Linked DNA regions of Caenorhabditis elegans. The protein of the gene in region 2 purifies or fractionates together with the protein of the main gene of each other region. This does not show direct contact. Each region holds a gene or a part of one and is shown on either strand. Other genes may lie near its edges. The genes, in order: mltn-1 and cri-2.

Region 1 (7,944 bases), on a different chromosome or scaffold from region 2:
TGCGGCAAATTTCAAAATTTGCCGAGGTCTGCAAATGGCAAATTTGGCTAACTTGCCGAACACTCCTTGCTTGAGAGGAGCACTTAATGTATCTTGATGTAATTTGTTAATTTGTTAGACGCTCAGAAAACTAATCTTTATCCACTCTCATACCAGTTTTCGAACAGCTTAAAAAATATTTTCTTTAGACTATCTTGTCTGGATTTGTTTTAGTGTAAGTCAAAATAAAAATTATTATATTTTTATTATTATTAAAAATAATCAATTATTAAATTGTACATGTAATAGTTGTAGATTGAGAAGTTAGATATATGACCCATAAATTCACAAGTGAAGTATATATATATATATATATATATATGTTATGAAAGCCAACTTGGAGAGGCAAACACGGTGACCATAGCTCCATCGGATCCCCACGCGGGGCTCAGAGCATATGGAGAAAGCACGACAGCAGTCACATACTGAGGAGAGAGGATTGTCGGGGACAAGACGAATGGGGACAGAACTAGGGGACTCAACGCCAGTGGGTTCAGAATAATTGGTCCGAGACAGAACGGAGTCAAGATCAGTGGAGTCAGTACTTGTGGGGAGAGAATGAATGGGGCGAAGATGAGCGGGGAAAGTACGAATGGATTCATGGATCCTGGGCACAGGATGAATGGGTTAAAGGCTAGAGGTGATAGAATGATCGGAACCAGCAGGAACGGATTCACAGCTACTGGTGATAGAAGACGCGGGGAAAGAATGACAGGTACCAATAGCCATGGGGAAAGGATCATTACTCCGTAGACAGCTGGAGAGAGGATCAGTGATGACAGCATGACAGGAGACAGGATTGCCGGTTGGGAGACAGCCTGCAATATGGGAGATTTTTTGTTGGAAAATTTTGAATAAATTTTCCAGATTTTCAAGTAAGAGCGTTCGATTTTTGAGAAAATTGAGACAGAGCCACTGATAATGGCAATATTACACTATTCAAAATTTTTCTATGAATAACAGTAATTTTGGTGCTCCAAAAAATATTTAAAAATCAAAATTTTCCGAGTTTGCGAAGAACGGCAAATTTGCCGAATTTGCCGAGTTTGCCGAGCTCTGCAAATTTTCAGATAGCCCTGATCGGCACATTACGAAACTAAGATAGTCTTCGAGCAATTTTTCAAAACTTTCACTGAAAAGTAAAATTCTTTTCAGAATATACAAACATGTTTCTATATATTAAACAAAATTCGTTCCATCTGAAAATAACATTTATATTTGTTGAAAAATCTCTTAAAAAGCCTCAAGTTGTGCCAGAAAGTTGCCGTTTGCTGAAAAAAATGCCGTTAAAAGTATTTCGGCAAACGATAACTTCCAGGGACTATTTGAAAATTTTTTCAAACTTTTCAACAAACATAAATATTATTTTCAGATAGAACAAACATTTTTCTACACTTCTATACCTATTTTAGATTTAAAAAATTGGATTATCATATTGAAAATATTGAAGCCGTTTTGTATGTTTGCTGCACAGTCAGCAATTGTCGACCGGCACAGCAATTGTCGACCGGCAATTCTACAAAATGAGACGGTTGGCCAGGCTCCCCATAAATTTTTCATTGAAATTTAATGATAGAATATAAAAAATATTTGCTTCATTTAAAAATTACTGTTAGTTTAGTAGAAAGATCTTCAAAAATAGTCTGAATGTTGAAAATTTCCGGTGAAAATTGCCGAAAAATTGACGGCAATTTTCCACATTCAGACTATTTTTGAACACTTTCTCGCTATTTAAAAGTCTAGTGAAAATTATTTTCAAGTAAAGCAAATATTTTTTATATTGTATCTTTAATGAAAAAAAAATAAAAAATTTAATGAAAAATATTGTTGGAACATGCCCAACCGTCTAATTTTGTAGAACTGCCGGTCTGCAATTGTCATGCACCCCTGCGCACAGGCCAGTTAACTCACCACTGGATCCAAAATGAAGTTACTAAATGTGATCGGTGATAAAATAATATCATTTCTCTTTGCCTCAAATTTGACTTTCTCATGTGCCAAGTCCTTGATTGTTCCCATAATAGCTCTATCGATTTGTGGTCTGCTCATTGATTTTGCCAATTTCAAGAACTTCTCATTTTCCCCCACTGATCCCTTCCCGTAGATCAAATCCATCTGATCATGTCTCATAATAGTATAGCCTGTTCTGTTCATCTCCTTGAGCTGCTCATCGGTATAAGTTTTATCCAAAGACTCGAACATTTCGATTTTCCTCGCCTCATGCGGATATTTTTCTGTTACATTTTCTTTTGTGAAGTACAACGGTTGACCTTCAGGCCCTCTTCCCATCGCATCGTCTTTGAGTCTTCGATACTCTCCGATTTTTCTTTCAACCCGTTCCATCGCTTCATTGACACCAGTTGCTTCCACAATAAAATCCAAGAAATCCTGAGAGTCTTTGTTATCGGTGAGAGATCCTAGGATGTTTCCGAGTGATGCTTTCTTTTCTACTCCAGAGCCATCCTCGTGTAGAGCAAATAGTGAAGGAGAGAGGAGATCAATCTGTAAATTTCGAACATTGTGTCCGGCAAATATGCCGAATTTGCCAAACTGACCGAGCTCGGCAAATTTCGTGATTTGCCGCCCCTGGAATCGGCAACTTCGGAAATTTCCGGTTTTGGAAACTCTCGGCAATTGTCGGTTTTAGAAATTTTCGGCAATCCGCAATTTTGGAAATTGTCGGTTTTGGAAATTTCCCGGCAATCGGCAATTTCGGAAATTGCCGGTTTTGAAAATTTCCGGCAATCGGCAATTTCAGAAACTGCCGGTTTTGGGCATTTTTTTCGAGATTTGCTGGTTTTGGAAATTTTTGTTTTCTATCGAGATTTGCTTGTTTTCGAAATTTCCTGCAATCGGCAATTTTGGAAATTGCCGGTTTTGGAATTTTTCGGCAATCGACAATTTCGGCAATAGCCGGTTTTGAAAATTTTTGGCAATTGCCCGTTGCCGAAATTGTTATGGTTCGGCAAACTTGAAAATTGCCGGTTTTGGAATTTTTCGGCAAGCGGCAATTTTGGCCACTACCGGTCGCCAAAATTGATTTGGCCGACCGAAACTTTTGAAATTCGGCTAGTCCGAAAATTGCCGGGTGCCGAAATCGTTAGGGTTCGGCAACTTCGGCAAATTTGCCAAATTTGCCGCACACGCCTGTCCCTTACCTCATTATTCTTTGCAGCTTCTTCTTGTGGAATCACACTCATAAGACGTGGACTGATAATTCTGACAATTTTCCGATCGAAATCTGTTGTATTGTGACCCGACATTTCCAATCCCATCTTGGCGGCTGTTTTTTATTTATTATAATTAGAAGGTTTCGTTTTGTAAAAATATATCTTTTGGCCAAATTAAAAATTTTCACATTACTAACCATCTCTCATCATTTTCATCGGAATCATCATCAACTTTTCCTGTTCCGTCATTTTATTCTTCCTATTCCTCAACACCTCCTTAATCTGATCATTGTCTATAAATTGCTCCAAATCGTTGAACTCCTTTAAACTATCATCCTTCGCAATCTTCTTATTCTGCTTCATCTTTTCAGCTGCATCTGCATAAATCGACATTCTCTTTTGCATAAAATCCTCCATTTTCTTTTGCTCTTTGATTTCTTCGGCTTTCTTGGTGATTCGTTCGATAGTATCTTGCCACTTTGACACCTTGTCCGTCTTTTTGAGAAGTTTCACAGCGCTAGAGAGATGTCTCGTTACCAGGCCGAATGGTGTCCTAGAACAGATTACGGTTTATACATATTTTATGGCAGCAAACAAATTGTTTAAATCGGCAAATCGGCAAATTGTCGGAATTGAAAACTTCCGGCAAATTGGCAAATTAAAAAATTGCCGGAATTGAAAACTTCCGAAAAACCGGCAAACCGGCAAATTGTCGATTCGCCGAGTTTGTCGGACAATGGCAATTGCCGAAAACTGTCGACAAATAGTGGATTGTGGTTTTGTACTTTTTTGGAAATTTCAGAATTTCAAATTTTGTCGACAAAATGGTACGCATTCGATGAATGTTCCTACATCTGTTTTGAAAAAAATAAGCAAATTCTATAAAAATATCTAAAGAAAACGGGAAAAATTTCAAAAAGGCACAATTTTAAGTGTTTCCGTCTTATAAAAATTATCTTTAAAAACGTCTGGCAATTTGGCAAACCGGCAAACCGGCGATTCGGCAAATCGATAAATTGCCGGAATTGAGAATTTCTGACAAATCAGCAAATAGCCGAAAATCAAAATTTCCGACAAATCGGCAATTTGCCGAAAATCAAAATTTCCGGAAAATCAGCAACCCGGAAATTTGCCGAAAATTAAAATTTCCTGCAAATTGGCAAATCGGTAATTTGCCGAAAATGAAAGTTTCCGGAAAATCGATAATTCGCCGAAAACCGGCAATCCGATTTGCCAATTTTTTTTGTCAATAAACAATTTTTGCCGCCAACACTCAACCACTTACATTTCTTTTTCGGCTTTTAAAGTATAGCTATCTCTGGTGTGCACTCTAATTTCTCGTTTTGCCCGAAACTTGAATGACCCAATCCATTCTTTATCTTCCCGAATCTCTTTTTCAGTTATTGGAGTCATTGTAGTGTTGGTAACCATCTTATCGATTCGGCGACGCATCTCTGGAATATGTTCAGTACAGTGGGGATCAGGGCTGAACGGCTAGCTGATTTTTTTTTTTGGCTGTCAGCTCGTACAGCAAGCCGACTAATTGGGCAAAATTTGGGCAAAATTGGGAAAATTTCTTCAGAAATTCTCAAGTCAACTAGAAATGTTTACCTTTTAAACTACGTAAAATTAAAATGCTCACTTCTGCTGAAGAGCTTTCTCCTATGAACCAATCGATTTCTATGTGCGTCGTCTTCTAGCTTGAGCAAGCAACTTGCGTGCTCCGAAAGAGTTTCAGCCTCGGATGAGCATTTCTCATGGCTCTTTTTTTGGTAGTCTTCAACAAGGGCTAGTCTGAAATATTAATATATTTAACAAATTTAACAAATTGCTCGTGGCATTAAATGCGTATTTTCTTAAATGTTAAGTAACGAAATTTGAGAAATTGCCATTTTTAGATCTAACATGGTCCAAAACTACCAAATTTTGTAATGAGACGTTCTGAAAATTTATTTTTTAAAAAGTTATGGCCGCTCAAAGTTTAGGCAAAAATGGTCAATTTCTAGCTAAAATCTCAAATTTCGGCAACTTTTCAGAGTGCGCGGCAATTGCCAGCCGGCAATTCTACAAAATGAGATGGTTGGACATGTTCCCACAATATTTTTCATTAAATTTTCATGATATAATATAGACAAATATTTACTTTATTTGAAGATAACTTTTATTTGACTTGGAACAACCGAGAAAGTGTTCAAAAATTGTCCGAATATTGAAAATTACCGGTGAAAATTGCCGCCACTTTTTCGGCAATTTTAACCGGCAATTGTCAACATTCAGACTATTTTTGGAGATTTTTCTACTAAAATAACAGTTATTTTCAAATAAAGCAAATATTTTTCTATATTGTATCATTAAATTTTAATGAAAAATTTATGGGGAACATGCCCAACTGTCTCATTTTGTAGAATTGCCGGTCGAAAATTGCCGCGAAAAGTTGCCAAAATTTGAGATTTTAGCTAAAAAAAAAGATCATTTTTTCCAAAACTTTGAGCGGCCATAACTTTTTTTTGAAAAATTTTCAGAACGTCTCATCACAAAATTCGGTAGCTTTAGACCATTTTAGGTCTAAAATAACAAAGTCTGATCTCACCTTCTTGTAGCAATCGCTGCGACAACTCCGGAAAATCCTTGAACCGCCCAATGCTCCAAGAGCTCTTCTCCAGACTCTGTCGACATGGGAACATTGAAAACTTTGTCTTTATAATGTGGAGATTTCAAGATTTCTTTTTGCGTCAACCCATATTTTGTCACATCTACTTCCGATTTAACTTTTAAGCAGGTGCATGGATACGGTAGAAGTGTTAGAAATAAAATAATAGGGAATAGGATCATAATGTGGTAAACCAGAGACCAGAGAAAAGGGATTCCCTGTGATTTTATGGATTTCTGGATGTAAAGAGGGCGGAGTTTTCGGATTCATCCCGAAAGTTTTTCCAAAACGTGGTTATCACTTGCTGGGCGGTGCCTTCCCGTGACGAGGAGAGAAGATGTTCTCAAAGGATGGGAGATGATCCCGTTGAACCAAGATCTATAGCATAACAGGTGGCCACATTTTGATCCTGATTTTCACGATTTTGATGATAAAGATTGAAGTGTGTATGTGTGTGTTCATATCACGTGGAATGCGCATTGTTTCAATGATGCTAGTTTGAAGGGGGGGGGGGCGGTCAAAAAGGATTCAAGTTTTGGTTTTTATCTTTGAAAATGCGAAAAACTATTTGTTCCCTGTATGTGTGTTTGACAACTTCTCAGGTTCTTCGGATTTGGAAGGATTAGAAGTTTTATACGGTAATTCAGTTTTCTCGAGTGATATCCAATAGGATCCCTATATTTGATTACGATTTATGCACACAGTGTACCGGTAAACTAGGCTGGGCGGCAAACTACAAACGATTTTTTCCGGCAAATCGGCAAATCGGCAAATTGCAGAAATTTAGCATTTTGACAAATCGGCAACTTGCCGGAATTTAAATTTTGGGCAAACCTGCAAATCGGCAAATTGCCGGAATTAAAAATTTTTTGGCAAATCGTCGGAATTGAAACTTCCGGCAAATCGGCAAACCGGTAAATCGTTGGAATTGAAATTTTTGTTGGCAATCCGGTAATTTGCCGATTTGCCGAATTTGCCGGAAAAACGGAGATTTTCGAAAATTTTCGCCGAATTGTGGTTTTTCAATTTTTTTAAGCTTTAGAATTTCAATTTTAATCGGCAAAAATGTACGCATTCTATGAATGTTCCAGCATCTTTTTCGAAAATAAGCAAATTCTATGAAAATATTTAGAAAAAACGGGAAAAAATTTCAAAAAGGCACAGTTTCAAGTGTTTCTGTCTTCTAAAAACTCCCTCTAAAAATTTCCGGCAAATTGATGTTTGGCAAACGGCAAACCGGCAAATCGGTAAATTTCCGGCAATTCGGAAAATCGGCAAACTGCCGAAAATGAAAATTTCCGGAAAATCGACAAACCGGAAACTTGCCGAAAATTAAAATTTCCGGCAAATTGGCAAATCGGTAATTTGCCGAAAATGAAAGTTTCCGGCAAATCGATAATTAGCCGAAAATGAACGTTTCCGGCAAATCAGCAAGTTGCAGAAAATCAAAATTTCCGGCAAATCGGCAAATTGCAGGAATTGAGAATATCCGATAAATCGGCAAATCGACAAATTGCCAAAAATAAAAGTTTCCGGCAAATCGGCAATTTGCCAATTTGCCGAATTTGTCGACAAAAAATTTGCCGAACGGCAATTGAACAATCAATGACTTACATTTCTTTTTCGGCTTTTAAAGTATAGCTGTCTCTTGTGTGCACTTTAATTTCTCATGAATGTTCCTACATCTATTTTGAAAAGTAAGCAAATTCTATGAAAATATCTACAGAAAACGGAAAAAAAAATTCAAAATGCACAGTCTTAAGTGTTTCCGTCCTTTAAAAAATCCGCCTAAAACCTTCCGCCAAATTTTGAGCCGGCAACGGCAAATCGGCAAATCGCCGAAAATGAAAACTTCCGGCAAATCGGCAAACCGAAAATTTGCCGATTTGCCGAATTTGCCGGAAAATAAATTTGCCGAAAATTTAACAAATATATTTTTTACAAAAGAAAAAAGTTTGATTTCTTATCTTCGGAATTTAACATTTTTCAATATTTTTTTCATCTTAAAAAATTGTGAAATCTTCAATTGTCTTTGATTTTTGTAGCTCATTTCGTAGTAAAAAAATCGTGTTTATTTTTAAAATC
Region 2 (3,114 bases):
AAATTTTTTTATGAATATTCCACGACAGTTTTCAACGACAAACATTGGAAAACTCAAACAGTTTTACACAGTTATTCATTTTAAAACTGATCTCAGAGCACCCGAGCAAATTTGGAAACATTTTCTCAACAGGAACCTGAAACATGAAATTTTTCTCCAAAGATAACTTTAATAGATGTTGGGTATAGGAATTTTTTTCTTGATTTATTCAAAGATTAAAGCTATAAGTTTTGAACAAAATATTCCCGGCAGAGAACACATACATATATAGAACACCTGAAAATGTGAATGGCGCTGTTGAACCATTTCAGTGTAGCCATCAATAGGGACCGTGTAGTCATGTAGTGAGACTTTCACCCTTTGTAGTCTTACAGCTGAAAACATCTGTCACCCTCTGATTATCGAATACCGATTATTGAAAAAATAATGCTTTCAATTTTTTACAAACAATAACTTCTGCTCACTCACATGAAAATATCGTTTGTTTTATCATAGCTTCGCTTTAAAAGTTTTTTTCATTAATTGTAAGTTTATTTAATCAGATTCATTAAAGTTTTATTATCAAATACTAATAAAATCGTTTTTATTTCTTTCTAGCATTTGATAGACTTGACTTGAGATTGCAATGTCTGTGGAACCTGGAAGTTAACAATTTATTTAGCAAACAGCATTTTCAACTCACATTTTTCCATTCAAGAACGTTTTCAAATGACGTTTGAGATCTGTCATCTGGCAGTACTTGACCGCAAAGAACAGTATACAAAGCATTTGGTCCTTCAACACGACCAGCAAGTAGATATTCATGACCGGCGGCAATCTTGAGCCCGCAAGCTGGAGCTTCTGATGGAGTGAAAATTTCATCTGGCAGAGTTGTCATGTTGGATGGTTTCTGAAATTAAAAAAACTTTGACATAGAAACATTTTTCTGTAAGTTTGAAATGCATGTTACTTTCAGTTGTATAGAACGCTGATATAAGCTTATCAGTAAGTTTTTAGCACCTGCGGGGTAAAATAAATCAAACTCGCTTACCTTAAAAACCTCGACATGTTGCACAGTGTATCTCAAATTATTCAATCCCTTTCTCTCGGATCCTTCTGGAAGTCCTTGTTTTCCTACACGGACCTTCACTTTGACATGAGAAACCCAGTGAGCATTGCAGAATGATTCCTTGGTTGATTGCTCTCTACACTTGCAAGCAAGAGTTACAGCAATGAGAACTGATAGAATGACTAGAGATAAAGATAAATTTTGCATCTGAAAATGGAATTAGTATAAATTCGAGGTGAAAAAAAATTGTGAAAATGAAAAAAATGAAACATGAAGAAAGCAGGAAAATTTTGGTAATAATATATTTTTTTACACAAAAATTGTTTTTGATGGCAAAATAACATTAACTTGCTCAAATAATTCATTTTTCTAGCCAAATAATTCATATCATAAACTTTAAAAATACAAGAATCTATAAATTTGGGCTCAAGTTTTTGTTTTTGAAACAAACAAAAAAAAAAGAAAATAGTTATTTTGTTGATAGTTCAACCCAAGACTGATCGTGAGATGACATTGGTTGAGCGAATTGAATCGGTCAAGAGTAGATATAGTACAGAGATCCGAGAGATATGAGACGATGAGAGACAGGAAGTGTAACAATAACATTAGTGTGACAAAAAAAAATGAAAGATGGTGAATAAGTGATGAATCATTATTATGACGTCTTGAAATATGATAAAGATAACTGAAAAGAGATTTTGATAGAAATTCCAAACTCACTATTTTACAGACATTTTTCTGGAAATAATAGTTTTGGAAACTGGAGTCTGAATACTTAATTTGCATGTACATAAGAAATAAGTTTTGATTGAATTAATATGTAGAAAAAAAAAGTTTGCGAAGGCACGGAAACTCCTTGGCCTGCATAAATTTCTGTTATAGCATCCCAGGCAAATTTAATGTTCACCTATTATAACCCAAGACTATTGTAGCTTCATCATGGCATCGAGACTAATAACAACTTCTTCACAATGCTGCAAAACATAAACCAAAGTTTGTGATTCACTATTGGACTTTTGGAATATTTGACTTTATAAAATAAAAAACGAGACACAAAAATATTGTTTCACAAACCATTCATCAAACTTCAAAAAAAAAAGTTTCAATCCGTAGAGACTCACTCAAACATTCACTTTCAATGACAATAGCCAACTGCCGTGCTAATAATTGAACAAACTGACAGTATACTTCATTTCACGCTTGTTTCAAGCGAATGTTCAGCTTGGCTTATAGCAGTTTTTTCAGAGACCCGAGCTTTTATAAAATTCCGGTGGACTCATAAAATATGGTCACAAAACCAAAAAACGAAAAGCATCATTCATCCATACCAAATGATTTATGTGGTAATCAAAGCTTAAAATGAAATTCTTATGATTTCTGATTCTTTGATTCTAAAGCTTGAAAAATGTGATTCTAAAGCTTGAAAACAAGCTTGAAATATAATTTTGTTTGCCATGAGATTTTTGGATAAAAGACGATTTTTTTGCAATTATCGTTCACAAAATTGTTCTTTACAACTATCCCGAATGAAACTACTGAAAATTAAACATTATATGATTATTGTGGAATATTATTTTGAACTAAATTATCAGCTTTGATTATTTGAAATTGAAATTCCGGCAAGGAAGTAATCGTACTTTTATAAAAATTTTCATAGCCCATAAGTTCACATTTTCCCGTCCAAAAACAATTGTCTCTATAAATATGTTCATTGAACCTCTTTTTCCTAAATTTCCGCATTTTCCCACTATTTCTCTCAATTCTCCCAATTATGTTGTTGTTTGTGAGTGTCACCATAGGCCGTTCTACGGAGAGTTTTGTTTGTATGTCTCGGTTCTCTTCATCTCTCGGTTTTCAAGAAAAGGGATTTTCCATTTTAACGTTTTTGCACTTTTTTTTAAAGCTAGTGATACCGATTTTTAAAAAAAACAATTAAGACGTATCATTTTCAAACTTAAAGGTTAAACTTTCAAACGACAAATTTTGATTTTTGAGCGTTTCGTTCCAATATGAAGGATCATGTTTCCTTCAACTGATCGTTTCGACGTTTTTTCTTCTCCAGTTTT

The links.
Region 1: the proteins of cri-2 (region 2) and mltn-1 fractionate together in Caenorhabditis elegans (co-fractionation; one large-scale study listed by BioGRID). This does not show direct contact.

What each region holds. Positions count from the first base shown.
Region 1 is NC_003280.10:13,139,117-13,147,060, forward strand, and holds mltn-1 (MLt-TeN (mlt-10) related), read right to left. Parts: upstream 6,110-7,944; 5' UTR 6,042-6,109; coding exon 5,800-6,041; intron 5,004-5,799; coding exon 4,852-5,003; intron 4,664-4,851; coding exon 4,495-4,663; intron 3,763-4,494; coding exon 3,407-3,762; intron 3,323-3,406; coding exon 3,198-3,322; intron 2,542-3,197; coding exon 1,951-2,541; intron 858-1,950; coding exon 363-857; 3' UTR 228-362; downstream 1-227.
Region 2 is NC_003283.11:8,199,949-8,203,062, reverse strand, and holds cri-2 (Putative metalloproteinase inhibitor tag-225), read right to left. Parts: upstream 1,256-3,114; coding exon 1,031-1,255; intron 890-1,030; coding exon 683-889; intron 639-682; coding exon 594-638; 3' UTR 540-593; downstream 1-539.